2 linked regions of the Tamandua tetradactyla genome follow. The protein of the gene in region 1 interacts with the protein of each later gene in a biochemical or structural test. Links are inferred from orthologs where the notes say so. Each region holds a gene or a part of one and is shown in the gene's direction. Other genes may lie near its edges.

Region 1 (7,335 bases):
GGATACTTGCCTTTATGTGAGTGTAAGCCTCTCTGGGCTTATTGTGGAACCTCATCCTCTTCATCTGGTTTGAACTTGATGTCTCCTGGTCTTATTGATATATTGTTACCAAAGTATATTAAACAGGTCTCTGTTGTGGGTGAAACATTCCCTCCAGCTAGCCTAAGAAAAAAAGGGGGGGGGGGAATTGATTTTAAGTCTACAAGGGTGTCTCCTGGAATCCATGGGCAGGTATGTAGCCAGGCCTCAGGTACAGGTGGTACCAAGGCTTGGGAGCCTCTATCTCTCCTCTGCCGCCCTCTGCATAACCGCTTCCTCCCTGCAGACCAGTCCCCTCTGCTTTCCCTTCCCAAGACGACCATGCCAGCTGTCACCCCTCTCAAGGACCTGCTGCCCTCGGTCAGCGTGCACCCTTCCAAAGACAGAAGCGCTGCCAGTTATGATTCTGGCAGGTGGAAGGTTAGGAAGTAGATTTACTAGGTAAGAGAGGGAGGGACCAGTGTAGAGATCCTGACAATGGTCTCTACAGGGGTGGAAAGACAGACTGTGAGGAAGAACCTGGCTCACTCCATCCCCGAGATACCAGCAGACGAAGCAAACTGACAGGCACCAAGCCAATCATTTTACAGTTATCTCCTTTCATCTTCACATCTTAAAAAATCAGATGAAAGTGTGACTAATTCCACTTTACAAATGAGAAAACAAAGGTCACAAAAAGTTACATTACCTCCCAAGGTCACAGAGCCAGAAGTAGAGAGGCTGGAATTCAGCCTGTGGATCTTTCCACTCTTCCATTGTCCCTGGCACCTGGGTCAGCACCATAATCAGTAGTGTGGCTTGGTCAGAGTGCCTGCTCTGGGTGTCTGCTGTGATACCAGCCTGGTATCGTCACAGGTGATTGTGGAAATGACCACGGCTCCAGAACAGCAGGATTTTCAAACATGGCCCATTGCACCCACTTACTCAGATTCTGCTCAGTCCGAGTTAAATGAGGCCAGTGTCAGTGGCTGACAAGCAGTCCCCTTGATGGCAGAGGCAGGGTCAGGTGAAAGACCGGGTAGCCTGGTCTCCTGAGACAAGCGGGTGGTGGTGAGTCAGGCTTATAAATGCCCATGGCTCCAACCAATGCAGCCCCAAATATTCAGCTGACAAAACCCCCTGTAAGCCCCTCTGGGTGCCCCTGCCTGGCTCAGGGAGGAACCTATCAGCCTTCCTTGGGGAGAGGAGCCCAATTGGCAGGCTATAGGACCAACATTGTGCACGGTCTGTTCCGGCCCATGTGGCTGGGCCTGGGGCCTGGGCTCATGGGCTATATCGGGGGCTGAGTCACCAGCCTGCGCCAGGGTCAGGCTGACTGTGACTGGCTGGCTGGAGCCTGAGTCAGGCCCCGATTTATCCTGGAGAGCAACAGGCTCAGGTTTCTCGGGGGATGGGGGGGTGACGGGAACCATCCATGGGCACTCTGTACCCTCCTCTCACTCCCCTGGGGCAGACACACTGCTCTCTACTGGAATGAGACAATGAGTCAAAGGGGGAGAGCCAGGGGAGGCATGGGGGGCTATCCTTGAGAGTTATCTCTCCACTTGTGGGCATCAGTCTGAACTCTCCCCTGTCAACACTGGCCCCCAAATGACTCAGGAACATCAAGGAATGCCCACAAAACAGGAATAGGAGCCGTTAGGGTTTATAAAGAGGCTGTCAGCTTCAAGCAACTCCAGCTTATCCCTTGCGCTCAACAAGGGAATCCAGCCTTTATCAGAGTTGTACATCGGTTTCTCCACCAAAGCTTCAAGACAACATCATTGAACCCTAAGCTCCTGGCACCTCAGAGTTGGGTGCCAGAAGTCTGCCCTTACACGCACACACACACGCACACACACACGCACACACTGGCACACAGTTCCTTGGTGAGACCCAGCTATGTTCCCCCAGGAACTGGGAATCTCTCCACAGGAGAGCTCAGCCTCTCAGGTAGATGGGCAGCACTGGTGCCTGATGGGTGCTTTGGGCCACGGGATGAAGGTTGCTTGTGGGTAATGAGAGCACTGGAGATGGGGAGAAAGGGGTTTGCCAGCAGGAGAGTAGAATTCCTGAGCACCTTGTCACAGGCAGCCGACAGAACATGAGCTGCAGGGCCCACGCTATTTATACCTCGCCTGTCACTATCAGGGCCCCCATAGCCTGCCCCCCCACCCCAGCCACACACAGCCTGGCCCTTTTCTGTTTCTGGGCCCTTCTCTACTCCTCCCCCCTCCCTACTCAGGCAACCAAGCAACCTCATTTAATGAGAACGAACAGAAATCACTCATGACCCCTTTCACTATAAGCACTGCCCCCATTAAACCCCCAAACTTCTCCCTCAGCTCTTTAATGAAGAGTGCCCTCATTCTGCTCTTGGGAAGAGAGCCCCAAAGATAACCACAAGCTCGTTCTTTTTCACCCAGCCTGGGGAAAAGAGAGGCAAAAGGTAGAATTAGTCATTTATAAGGTCCCAGAACCTTCTTAAACCTTCTCAGTTGTTATCACATACATGGCTTGTATCACATACAAGACACTTCTCAGGCTCAGACACGGTCTCCTACCCACTCAGTTTCCTGTTGATGAAGTGAGGGTTTGCCTACTTCTTCCAGAACCTCTCACCAATTCACTACCCCAAACTTACTGGGTCCAGGAGGGATGGGAAAGCTGAGGAAGGATGGCCATAAAAGGCAGACCAGGAGGTATGGAATACATGTATGCTACAAAATCGCAGAATATATATTCTCTTTATAAAAATATATCCTATAGCTCTTTTTTTTTCATCTCAGGTCAGCTCCTCTGTGTGGATGCCTCAGTTTCCCTACCCTCACCACTCCCCAGGCCTCCAGCCATCCTTGGCTTACCCCAAGCCTAGCCCTGCCTAGCACGTCCTGGCTGGCTCCCTCGGGCTCTCCCTGACCACTCTACCGCTGCCCACCTGCCTCAGTCACGTTCCCCCTTGGCTGCTCTGGGCAGGGCTCTCCCTGTTTCTGTCAGTAATCCGCCTTCTCCCTAGAGTGATCTGCCTTGTGGCCAAAATGGGCACATTGCCCAGGGGGCTCTCTGGCACTAAAGAGGCAGTCTCTCTCTCCCCACTCATCACCTTGGTTGAGTCAGACTTGAGCTGGGGCGGAGTGGGGGTGGGGGTGGCACAGTGTAACTCACTGGGTACCTTTTTCCTGAGCTCAGCTTCATTCTGAGGGGATGAGGCCAGATGGGGCTGGCAGCAGGGGCACTGAGTCAGGGGCAGCAGCCTCAGTCTTTGCCTCTGGGTTTGGGTCCCAAATGAGGCCTTTCTACCTGTAAAGTGGAGCAATGAGGGAGGTGCCCCCCACCCCCTGCCGCGGAGTCCACCATCCCCAAGCCTTCTTCCTAAGTGGCCTGGGCAGTGTCCTTGCTTCCTCTCTGTCCAGGTCTACACAAGCTCACAGACTTCCCTTCCCTATCCACAGGTGGACAATACACTGGGCTAGAAGCCAGGACTCCCAGGTCCGGTCAACAGCACTTCCACCAACTCATCCAGAAATTCTAACACGACATCCGTGTGTGTGTGTGTGTGTGTGTGTGTGTGTGTGTGTGTGTGTGTGTGTGTATGTTTCACTCTAACCACTGGCCTCAGTTTCCCCATTTATCTCTTGAGCTCCTCTGCAGTGGAGCACATTTCATCTCTGACTGACAAGGCTTAGTTTAGGGGTGTTGGGTGAGGATGGGTAACTTTCGCCCTCATTCTCTTCCACCTTCGAGGGCCGCTATCCACCTCCCCAGGGCGGCGGCTCCTCGGGGACCCCAGCCCCCCTGGTCCGCAGACTCGGGCCGGTGTGGGGGAGGGGCGGGAGGCCCCAGCTCCCCTCCCGCCGCCCGGGCCGCGTGGGGGAGGGGAGGGGAAGGAGGGGACGGGGAGGCGGGGCCGTTCCGCTCCGCGTGGCCCCCACCCGCGGGCCGGGCGGCATTCCTGGGAGGCCGGCGCTCTGACGTGGACCCGGGGGCCGCGGGCGAGACAGGGGGGCCGCGGCCCGGGGGCTTCTTAAACCCCCCGCCCCGGCCCGGCCCGCACTTCCCGAGCACCGCTCCGCCCCCGGACGGAGAGAGAGAGAGAGAGAGAGCGAGAGAGAGAGAGAGAGAGAGACAGACAGACAGAGACAGAGAGAGGCCGAAGAGCCGAGGAAGCCCGCCGAGCCCCGCCAGCCAGGGGCGCCAGAGCAGTTGGAGAGCAGCGCAGTGCCGAGCGGCGAGCCCCGCGGTCGCGCCCCGACAGCGCCCGACAGCACCCCCCGGGCCGCCCCGACCCCGCCGCGGACCCCGACCAGACACGCAGCGCAGCCCCTGCCCCGGCCCGCGCCAGCATGATGAACAACAGCGGCTACACGGAGGCCTCGGGCCTCGGTCTGGGCGACGAGGTGGACGAGATGCCGTCCACGGAGAAGGACCTGGCGGAGGACGCGCCGTGGAAGAAGATTCAGCAGAACACGTTCACGCGCTGGTGCAACGAGCACCTCAAGTGCGTGGGCAAGCGCCTGACCGACCTGCAGCGCGACCTCAGCGACGGGCTGCGCCTCATCGCGCTGCTCGAGGTGCTCAGCCAGAAGCGCATGTACCGCAAGTTCCACCCGCGCCCCAACTTCCGCCAGATGAAGCTGGAGAACGTGTCCGTGGCCCTCGAGTTCCTGGAGCGCGAACACATCAAGCTCGTGTCCATCGGTCAGTGCTGGCGCCGAGGGCTCGGGCACGGGGGGCGGGTGGGGGGAGCTGGAGGGGAGGGGAGCGGTGCCCTGAGGGCCGGCCCGTGCGTGGCAGCGGGGCACAGGTGCTGGGTGGGCGCGCGGGGAGCTCCGTGGCACCGTCGGGACTCGCCCGGGCTCTGCCTTCACACCCCTCTCAGGACCCGGGGCACCCAGGCGAGTTCAGACCTAACCATTCCAGCTTCAGCTTCCCCACACCCGCTCCAGCCATTCCGCCTCCCCTCCTAGTCCACTTTTCTTCCGCGGCAGGACCCTGGCCCCTGGTTTGAAAGGACAGGGCTAGTGCCTATTGCGGATTCCTGGGGGCATCTGCCCCCAAACAAAGCACACAGCTTCCCAGCTTCCCAGCACCTGCGCCTGGGGAGATGGGCATGAGGGCAGGTCCCAACCAATGCCCAGCTTCCCCGGCTCTAGGCTGAAGGCGAGCTGGTGGCCCCGCCGCTCCCGCCGAGGCCCAGGGCAGGCATGTGCTCAGCAGCTGGGCTCAGGCTGGGGGGCCAAGGCAGGCAGGGCCCTGCCTCAGAAACCTAAAAAGGCACTGAGTGAGCGCAGGGAGCCTTAACCCCTGCCTGTCCTCCTGCTTCTGTCTGCTGGGGAGGGGGGCTCCCACCCCTGCAGGCCCTGCCCCAGCCCTCCCCCTCAGCCCGGGATTGGCTGCAGCTAAAGGTCTGGACTGAGGGGAGGGAGGACAAAGCCTGTAGAAGGGAGGAAGTCATTGAGTGTAACCAGATTTGGAAGGTGTGTCAGTGCTGTGTGGGGGTGGGGAGGCACTCTAGGCTTTACAGCTGAGAAGAAGCCAAGGATGGGCTTTGAGTGGCAAGAAGTATCCTCTCCCCTCACAACCCTGCAGCCATCCAAGCGGGCTTCCAGGCCTGGGGAAGACCTCTCACCCCTGTGGTGAGGTCTGAAGAGTTCTGCGTTGATTTACATGAACGGGCCCCTTGTGGGGATACACCCCGGGACCTCATGAGGGGAGTTTCACGTAGGGCCAGGTAACCTAGAGCCTCCCCGCCCCCCATCTCGCTGCTCCAAGAGATATACCCAGATCATTGAATGCCCACCCCCCTCTCCCCCTCAGGGCCATCTCTAGGTCTCCTGAATTAGCAGCTGAGGTCAGTTTAGGGCCCTTTGCCCTGCTAGGCCCCTCCCTCCACCTTACCCCCTCCTACCCCAGTGCTCCCCCCTCTACCTCCCACCCCACCCGCCTGCTCTGGCCTGGAAATAGCCCTGCCTCCGTGACACAGCAGATGTCTCTGAGCTTTCCAGAAGGACAAACTTGAGGGCAGGGGGTGGGGGAGGAGGTGCTGGTGTCTGTAGTGGGGCTGAGGGCTATGTGAATGGGGGTGGGGGTAAGGAGACCCCCTGTACCCTGGGATTGGAAAGGCGAGACTGACTGTCCCAAGTGGGGTCTTTGGGACAGCTCGAGGCTATTAGAGGAGATATTAAAGGAAACTGCTCAGACTTCCCCTCCTCTCTGGGGGCTGCAGGGACAGCCCACTGCCCATCTCTAGGCCTCATCCTTTCAGAGCACACCTCTCCCCTCCCCCTTGATGGTTACTGGCTCCAGCCCCCTTGGCTCGACTGTGCAGGGGCGGGCTCAGAGTAGAGGAGGAAGGAGCAAAAGCTGGTTTGGGGGTGGGAGAGACTCTCCCTCGGTTCCCACTGAGAGGAAGGGGAGCTGTTCCCTGTTCCGGCCAAGTGGCGTCCTCGCGCTGATGAGATAAACTGTCAGCAGTTCAGCTGCAGAGAGGCTGAGGCTGGAGGGGAGGGGGTTCAGACGACTCCGAGCTGATGTAAAGGGCTACCCATCCGGTGGGAGCCTCCTGCCTCCTCTAGTTCCCGCTGTCCCCTTTAGTGGTGGAATGAGGAGACATTGTCTCAGACTAAAATTGAGCATCTGAGCACATTGGTGGGAGGCCAGAAAGACACACTATTTCCCTTTCTAGAAGGGAAGTCAAGGCCTGGGGTGGGAGCTGGGAGCTGGGACGTCCACCTGAAGGAGGGGGTATTCAGCTTGGGTTGGAGAAACTGTGTCCCCTTTCCTATGCCTACCACCCCCGTATGGCCCCCACTGCCCCCTCAGCCCCTCCAAACAAAGGGGCCTATGAGGCAGCTCTGTCCTGCAGCTGTTCCCCAGTTGCTATTCCTTCTCTTTGGGCCAACAGCCGAGGGAGGGGCTGGAGGGGACAGCAGCTGTCCCAGCCCCTCCCTCAGCCCAGCTCTCTCTCCTCCTCCCCCTCTACTTGAATCCTGGGGTAGCCTCAAGGACTGGCTGTCTGACTTTTCCCGCCCCCTTTGGGGGTATCCCCAGGCAGGCTGAGGAGTGGTGGCATGGGAGGATATAAGGGAGGAAGCCTAAGCTGAGTGAGAGGAGAGGAAGGGCATTGCCCCCAGAGTGGGACTCTGGGCCCCTTGCTGGCCCTCTCCTGCCCCAGGCTGTGGACCACTTGCTGTTTGGCCCAGGGCCAGTTGCTGGGGAGAAACCTCGCTCTCTGTGACTGTGAGTGATCACCGTCCCCCACACGTACACATACACTCCTCCCAGCCCGGCAGCCTCCCATGCCCGCCCTCTCAGGGG
Region 2 (7,327 bases), on another chromosome or scaffold:
TTGGCTGCTCACTAGTTGCTTTCCTTTGCTAGGTCTCAGATTTTTTCAGCTGTTAAAAGGGAATTTGGACTCAATCTCTCCGTGTCAGTGAGACTTTAGACCTGGAGAGACCTTTAAACACGACTATTGTCATCCCACACATTTCAGAAATGGGGAAAATATTCAGGAAAGGAGAGTTGGGACAGAGCTGGGACTCAGCAGCCCTGAGTCCAGCCCAGCCTCGTTCCAGCACCTTTCTGCCACTTTCTTATCAGCCAACTACTTTGGGGATGCCAAACACTGTGCAGTAAAGTAGCCAGGAGCCACACGGCTTGAAATGGAACTAGTGCAACTGAGGAGCCACATTTCTTATTTAATTTTAAATCATTTAAATTAAAAAACTGATACCCGATTCAGTTATTGTAAAATGTTTAAGTGTGTTTGGATGACTTGGGCATCTGTATTTCAACCGTAACTTTTATCAAAGCTAAATATGAATCAAGTATTTCCGATGAAATTTTAGTATCCTGGTTGAGAGGTATTGTTAGTGCAAAATATACACTGGATTTTGAAGACAATTTTAAAAACAAACGTAAAATATCTCCATAATTTTTATGTTGGTGATATGTACAAATGATAATTTTTGGAAATTTGGGTCAAATAAATCATATTATTAAAATTACTTTCACCTCTTTCTTTTTGCTTTGTTCAGATGCCGTTACTAGAAAAAAATCTGAATTATTGTGCAGCTCGCATTATTTTGGTAATGGACAGTGTGGGTCTAAATGTTCAAAACAACCCCCTGAGGTGGCCCTGTTATTATTATCCTCATCTCACAGAGAGGGAGTTAATATGTCAGATGGTGCCTGTGTCCCCTGCCACCCCCAGAGTCACCCCCAGCTTCGATGGGCACTCCCTGTACATGCAAACACTCCCTACCTCAAACACTTACGTCTCTCTGTCGGAGGGGCAGACAAGAAGCACAGGAGAGTTGGCACTTCCAGGAACAGGGTGGGTGAGGGTTGGGGTTTAAATGCAACAGTGTCTTCACCCGTCTCCCGGAGGGTCCGCCGTGGGATGAAACCCCAGCAGCTCACAGAGGGGGCCTGCTCTCCTCCTGCCCTGACTGCCTCCACCACTCCCTCACCATCTTGCCCGGAATCCCCTCCCAATTAAACCACTTGCACCCAAATTCAGGTCTCAGCCTCTGCTCTCGGAAGATGCACACCAAAACCCTGCAGTACAGAGAGACCAAAGACTAGTGACTATATATAAATAGTAAGAGACAGGCTGGCGATCTGATCCCAGACAGCGTGACACCACATCTCACACTCTCAAACACCACCCAGGAGCCAAAACGTTCCTATGGCAAATCTGCCCAGGCTTTGAGCTGACCCCAGAGCAGAAAAGTCCCATTTCTGAATCCCTGGGTTCACATGATTTCACTGAGAGCCTGAGCGGACCCCTCCCCTGCAAGTCTGGAACAGACCCAGCTTGGCCTGCCCAGAGCAGTGGCCCTGGCACCAGTGTCTGCTTCCCGCTGGGAGCAAAGCCAGGACCTCCAGCCTGTACCTTGTAGGACACTCGCCTTCAGACCAAGAGGATGCACTAGGCTCTGTGACCTGGAGAAAGTGGGAAGAGCCGAGGTCCAGGGACAATTTATTGTGCTTACTCATTTATTGAGCTTAGCACGTGCCAGGCACTGTTCTAAATGCTTTTGCTAGATTAATTCATATAACCTCCACAACAACCCTTTGGGGTACATGCGATTATTAGCACCATCTCATAGATGAAGAAAGTAAGGAACAGGGGGGTTAGGTAACTTGCCCAAGTTGAATCCACACAGCTAAGTTCAGGCGTCTGGGTCTTAATCATTCCTGGATCCTGTGCCTTCTGAAACTTAAGTTGAGTTGCTGCTCACTACTCACCTTGAAACCCACTTTAGAGTACCCAATTCTGCAGGTGCTTGAGACTCTGACCAAATCCAACGCTGGTGGAGCCCCACCTGGAGGGAGGCATCCTTGTCCTGGGAAGCAGTAGACACCAGAAGGAGAGATTATTGTAGCTAGAAAGCAGCCACTCTTCCCAGCCCACATCTTCCTCAAAGCCCTTTGCTTTTCAACAGAGATCCTTTAATCAGCACAGTCACTCAACCTCAGTGTATTTATTCCCAGCCTGATTTGAGATTCCCAAATGATTTGAGAGGGTTTAAAAGATATGTGCACAGTATTTCCACCAAAGATTCTCTGCCTGGTTGCTGCCTTAATGGCTTAGTAATAGATACTGTGATGTAGTGACACTATTAGATCATTACACTTAGAGTTGACCAACTTGTCCTAGTTTTCTCAGAACTTTCCCACTTAAGTCCCTAGTCTTGAGAAACCTCTTAATGCCAGGGAAACAGGGAAAGTTGGTTACCCTTGTTCTACAGGATGCAGGACATAAAGTCTATTTGATCAAAGAGAACTAAAAATTTATCTCAGAGCTTCCTAGCAGCCAAAGCAAAGAGAGAAATACTTCATTGTGAGAATTTTTGGTGTCTACAATAGCACTGTACAATAGACCTTTCTGCAATAATAGACATATTCTGTACTGTCCAATATGATAGTTACCAGCCACACATATCTATGGGGCACCTGAAATGTGGCTTGCATGATTAAGGAGTTGAATCTTTATTTTATTTTATTTAAATTTTAATAGCCACATGAGGCTAGTGGCAATTATATTGGACAGCATAGCTGTATTAGGTAGGCGCTATTTCTTGATATTAAGGCCTGAGAATTTTCTGCTATGAATTAACACATCTGAGGTAAATGCAAAGGGAAGTTCATTTTCTATACATATAATAATAATATACACATGCCACGTGCTAAGTCCTCTTGTAAACATTTTCAGATATGAATTCATTCCATTCTCAAAACTGCCCTAAGGAGGAGGTACTTTCAGCATCCCCAGGGAGAAGGCCCCACCTGGGTGACTCTGAGGGACCTACGCCCCTCCTTCCCCGACCTGGTGGCCTGAAAGGACTGTACCTTGGGTCTCCTTCCCTTCCTAGGGAGAGCCAGGAGCTTGAGGAGCAGACGGGTGGAATGGGGTAGAGTGGGGGCAAAAGGGCACAGGAAGAGAAGAGGGAGGGAGACCAGGGACAAGGGTTTCCAGACACCTCCCTGAGGCTGACGCTGCAAGACTGACATTGACTCAATGGAAAAAGTGAGCTGTGTCTGGCGTCACCCCTGGCACCCATGGCATCTGGGGCGCCAGAAAGAAGACCCCATCCTGCCAGGCAACAGAACGTGCCTGCATGCCCTTAGACACGGAACCTGGGACGGGCCTCCCACCCGGGACAAAACACCATGGATGGTCCCTGACCCCCTTCATCCTGACTCCTTCCTGGCCTGAATGCCAGGACCAGTTGAGCCTGCGAGGGCCCTCCAGCTCCGGGCAGCCAAGGAGGGGGCAGGTGTGCCCCCCAGCCCCACCCCTGCCTCCATCTGTGACTGGGAAGCTGATGACTCCAGGGTCAGAAATAACCCCAGAGTCAGCTCCCCATATGCCTCCCCTCCCTCCCCTCCATTCCCAGAAAGTCTGGGCCCTGAGTCAAAAGGAATAAGAGTAAATAAGGACCCATATCATCTCATACAAAACCACAAAACCATTCCTGAAATTCTTTGATAAATCAGGGACCTAGTGAGGAGTTGGGCCTGGTAGTTCAAATGTCTTCTCCCCAGATCCGACACTGCCCAGGGTTGCACAAACCTGGGTTAGTGAGCCTGGAGAGGAATGGATAAGACAGGGTGAAATCTTCAGTGCAGAAGGGAATGGGGGAGAAGGAGAGCCGGGCCTAACTCTCAGAAGCATCCAGGACAAAACAGGGGTGGAGGGGCCTGGCCGTGCCCTCAGGGGGCCTCCAGTCTCCGGGCAGGAAGATACACTCATGGGATTGGTCAGAGGTCAGTCCAGAGTAGGAGATGGGGATGCTCGGGGATGGGGACACAGGCTCTCCTGATGTCCCCTGCCCCTCCTTATTCATTTCCTCAAAATAGTCTGGGACACCCCCGACCCACCCGTGGCTGAGTCACCGGGTCCTCAGGTCGCCCCCAGGATGAATGAAGGCCTCTCCCCACCCTCCCCCTCCGCAGTAGAAAGAACACGTAACTGATTCCCCGGGATGGAAGAGCGACTTCCACAAGCCTAAAAATAACCCAGCCACTTCATACTCTGAACTTAGCCTCCCCTGACCACCCCCACCTGGCCCACCCCCCCCCACCCCCCCAGCCACCAAGATAAAGGCAGCTGCTGGGACTGGCAGGGGACAGAGACCCAGAGCCAAGGCGGCGAGAAGGCCTGAATTAGCAGTGCAGGACCAAGCCCGGACGCCAAATACAGAGGGACAACCGACCCCCGAGAGGCACTTACCACAGACTCCGAGCATCCATTCGGCCAGGCAAGACCCTCGTGTGAGTAGCCTGCCCCTTTGTCTTCCACAGAATCCTCTCTGGGCCCTCTGGGTAGGCTCTCAGGACAGCAGGAATAAGGGGTGGCTCTGGGCGGAAGAGGGCATTTGGGGACCACATTTTCCAGTAGTACAAGAGGAGTCTCTGACATCAGGAACCCATGAGGGGGCTAAGGGAGAGTTAGCAGGAGTCCCATGGGAGCTCTCAGAGGGCTGCTAAAGGCCTGAGGTGGGGAGCAGGGCTTTAGGGGCCCAGTATCTGAAGGAAAGAGGGTAGAGGGAAGGAGGGAGGCCAAGAGAAAGGAGGCTGGGGTGGTGGGGGACCAGGAACGGTAAGTAGGCCTAGTCTGCTTTACCAGGACAAGCCCCCTGCCCAGCTGTTGTGGGCAAAAGTCTGGGCATATTCGGCCCCAGGAATTTCTCCCCGGGGCTGGTCTGAGGTTTGGATGAGCCCTACTCCCCACATATTGTGGTCTAGAAGCTGGGGGCGGGGAGGAATGCAGCGTCTGCCCGAGGCCACTGTCTTGACAGTGGGAGGGCCCTAGGGGCAGATCTGGGGTGCTCATAGCTCATACCAAGGAGACCAGATCTCAGTCTGTGCAGATGTAGATGTGTGGAGGGATTGGGACCACAGAAGGGGGTACCTAGGCACAAAAGTCGGGGCATCCTGAGAGGCTGGCCCAGCCTAGGAGGCCAGGCTGCCTAGGGGGCCCCCACCCAAGTCTGGTCCCAGTTTGAAGTCTGCCTTCACCCTACCCTCACCCTCTAGAAATGAAAAAGCCCCAGGAGTTCCCAGACCAGGCAGGGGTGAGAGCAGGAAAGCCCAGAGTGAGGAAACCAGTTCCCAGCTTGACTGGTGCCTTGCTGGGCAAGGACTCCTTGGACAGTAAGGGAATTAAATCTGGTGACCTCTGAAAGTCCTCAGGCCTGACATCTCTGGAGTCCGTGATTCGAACAGTTAGTGACCACAGCAGAGATTCTGGAGATTCCTGGGGGCGGGGGTAGGGGTGGAGTTGGTGGCCTGCACAATGCCATCTGCTGCAGCTACCCGGGTGCTGATAGGACCGAGTAGACGTGGGGACAGTGCAGGTTTGCCTTTGGCAGGGGGTCCTCATAGAAGCTCAGTGACTAAAGAAACCATCTAGAGGGCTTGATGAGGCTGCAGGTTCAAGGGGTTTCCACCTCTCAGGGGCTTAGTTGTCTTCATGGACCCGCTGGGAGTTAGGGTGGGGCAACACGGTCTCCTCTTCCTGGCCCCATTCCCACCTGCTTCCAGTGTCCCTGCACCTAGCCTCTTCCCCAAGCCTCTTTGGCCAGTGGATGTTTCTAGGCTCCAGTAGGGACAGGACTGCAGGGGGGCAGAGTTCAGGGGCAGGGGGGCAGGACTTAGGGAGTCCAGGATAGCAAAGGAGATGAAGTGGGCCAGGGGCTCCCCCTGCCCCCACTGGCTGAGCTTGGCCCTTCCTCCCCAGCCCAGGGCTGCTGCCTGAGGCCAGGACCTTGGCTATATTTAGCACCGGGGTAGAGCAGAGCAGTGGGTCAGGAGCAGTCGGAGGAAGGGACGTGCTTCTCATTCTTTCCCTGCTGGCCTCTAGGAACTTTAAGTATACCTGTCACAAGACAGATAAGGCACACGTGGGACAAAGACCAGAGACGGGCCTGAGAGGTGGAGAGTAGTGCTGGGGAGAGGCTGCATCTTGGTGAAAGCTAACTGACCTGAAAATGGTGGAAGAAAAGGAATAAAATGCCACATCTGGGGCTGGTTGAGGGGTTAGGGGCAAGGGATGAGAGACACTGAGGGCCCAGAGGCAGGTCTGAGCCTGAGGTCCTAAGTGCCTAAAACTGTGCTTGCCTGCACAAGACAGGGGAGAATTCTCCTTGGTCAAGGAGCAGGGCTCTCTGCAGAACGGGCCCCTGGTCCCACTGTTCTGCCCTCCTTATGGGTGTCTCCAAGAGGTGCCTGCTAGAGAAGATAGAGGCACCACGGTCAATAGGAAAGTTTCACTCCCGCTGCCCTTTTATTTCTTGAGGGCCAGGCCCTAAATGGGGTCTGGGAATCCTGAGCCAGCACTGCTTGCCACTCATTCGCCAGCATCCCACTCTTTCTGGACCTCAGTTTTCTCGCCTTCAACTGCAAGGGGCTGGGCTCCACGACCCTTGGCTGCCTCCAGCACAGACCTCCTGAGTCTTTGGGGTACAGCACAAAGAACCCTGACCAGGCATGCAGAATCTGGGTCTGCCCACCCACAAGATGCCCCTCCTCAGTCCTCAAATGCGTCCACTGTAGCACCGGCTGCAGACCCCTGCCATGTACTCTGTGGTCCTGGGAAATATTGGAGAGTGAGTGGAGAGTCAAAGGGTAAATGTGCCACAGAGACGCAGTCAATGTGGGATGGGCGCCCTCTGGTGTTCTTCAGAGGAATTTCATCTCCGTGGGAAATCAAGTCATCTGTGTAGGGTCCCACCTTTTACCAGCTGAGACTAGTAAATCAAAATTTCCCCAGGCACTCATCTGGGGGTCCTCCAGGGAAAAACAGACTGACAAAGGAAGGCAAGAGTGGGGAGTGTCCAGTTTGCCGACTGGACACATCGCACTAAAAGAAGGAGCCTAAATGCCAGTGGTGAACTGCTTGACCATGGGGAAGCAGAGACCCACCTTGCTGGATGACTCCATATGTCTAAGGTCAAGGCTTGTCATGCACCCACCATGCAGATGGCAGAGTGAGGCTCAGGCCAGGTAAGCCTAAAGACAGAGTGAATCTCCGGGCTTGTATCGCCATGAAGTTACTTTGCCCCGGGCCCTCCCCCTGCCAATCCTCCCAGCAAATAGCCCCCACCCCATCTAAAGCCCACGGCCCCATGCTCACTTTGTTCCTTCTCCTTAAAAGGATGTCC

The links. The genes of interacting proteins can lie anywhere in the genome.
Region 2: the proteins of FLNC (region 1) and XIRP1 form a complex in vitro, tested with the Homo sapiens proteins (2 studies listed by BioGRID and IntAct, with this or other methods). The link is inferred for Tamandua tetradactyla from reciprocal best matches to the Homo sapiens genes FLNC and XIRP1.

Annotation. Positions count from the first base shown.
Region 1 is NC_135327.1:170,249,144-170,256,478, forward strand, and holds the start of FLNC (filamin-C), read left to right. Parts: upstream 1-4,330; 5' UTR 4,331-4,361; coding exon 4,362-4,716; intron 4,717-7,335.
Region 2 is NC_135341.1:48,016,968-48,024,294, forward strand, and holds the start of XIRP1 (xin actin-binding repeat-containing protein 1), read left to right. Parts: upstream 1-4,306; 5' UTR 4,307-4,436; intron 4,437-7,320; 5' UTR 7,321-7,321; coding exon 7,322-7,327. UniProt on the Homo sapiens protein: Protects actin filaments from depolymerization. Required for correct cardiac intercalated disk ultrastructure via maintenance of cell-cell adhesion stability, and as a result maintains cardiac organ morphology, conductance and heart beat rhythm.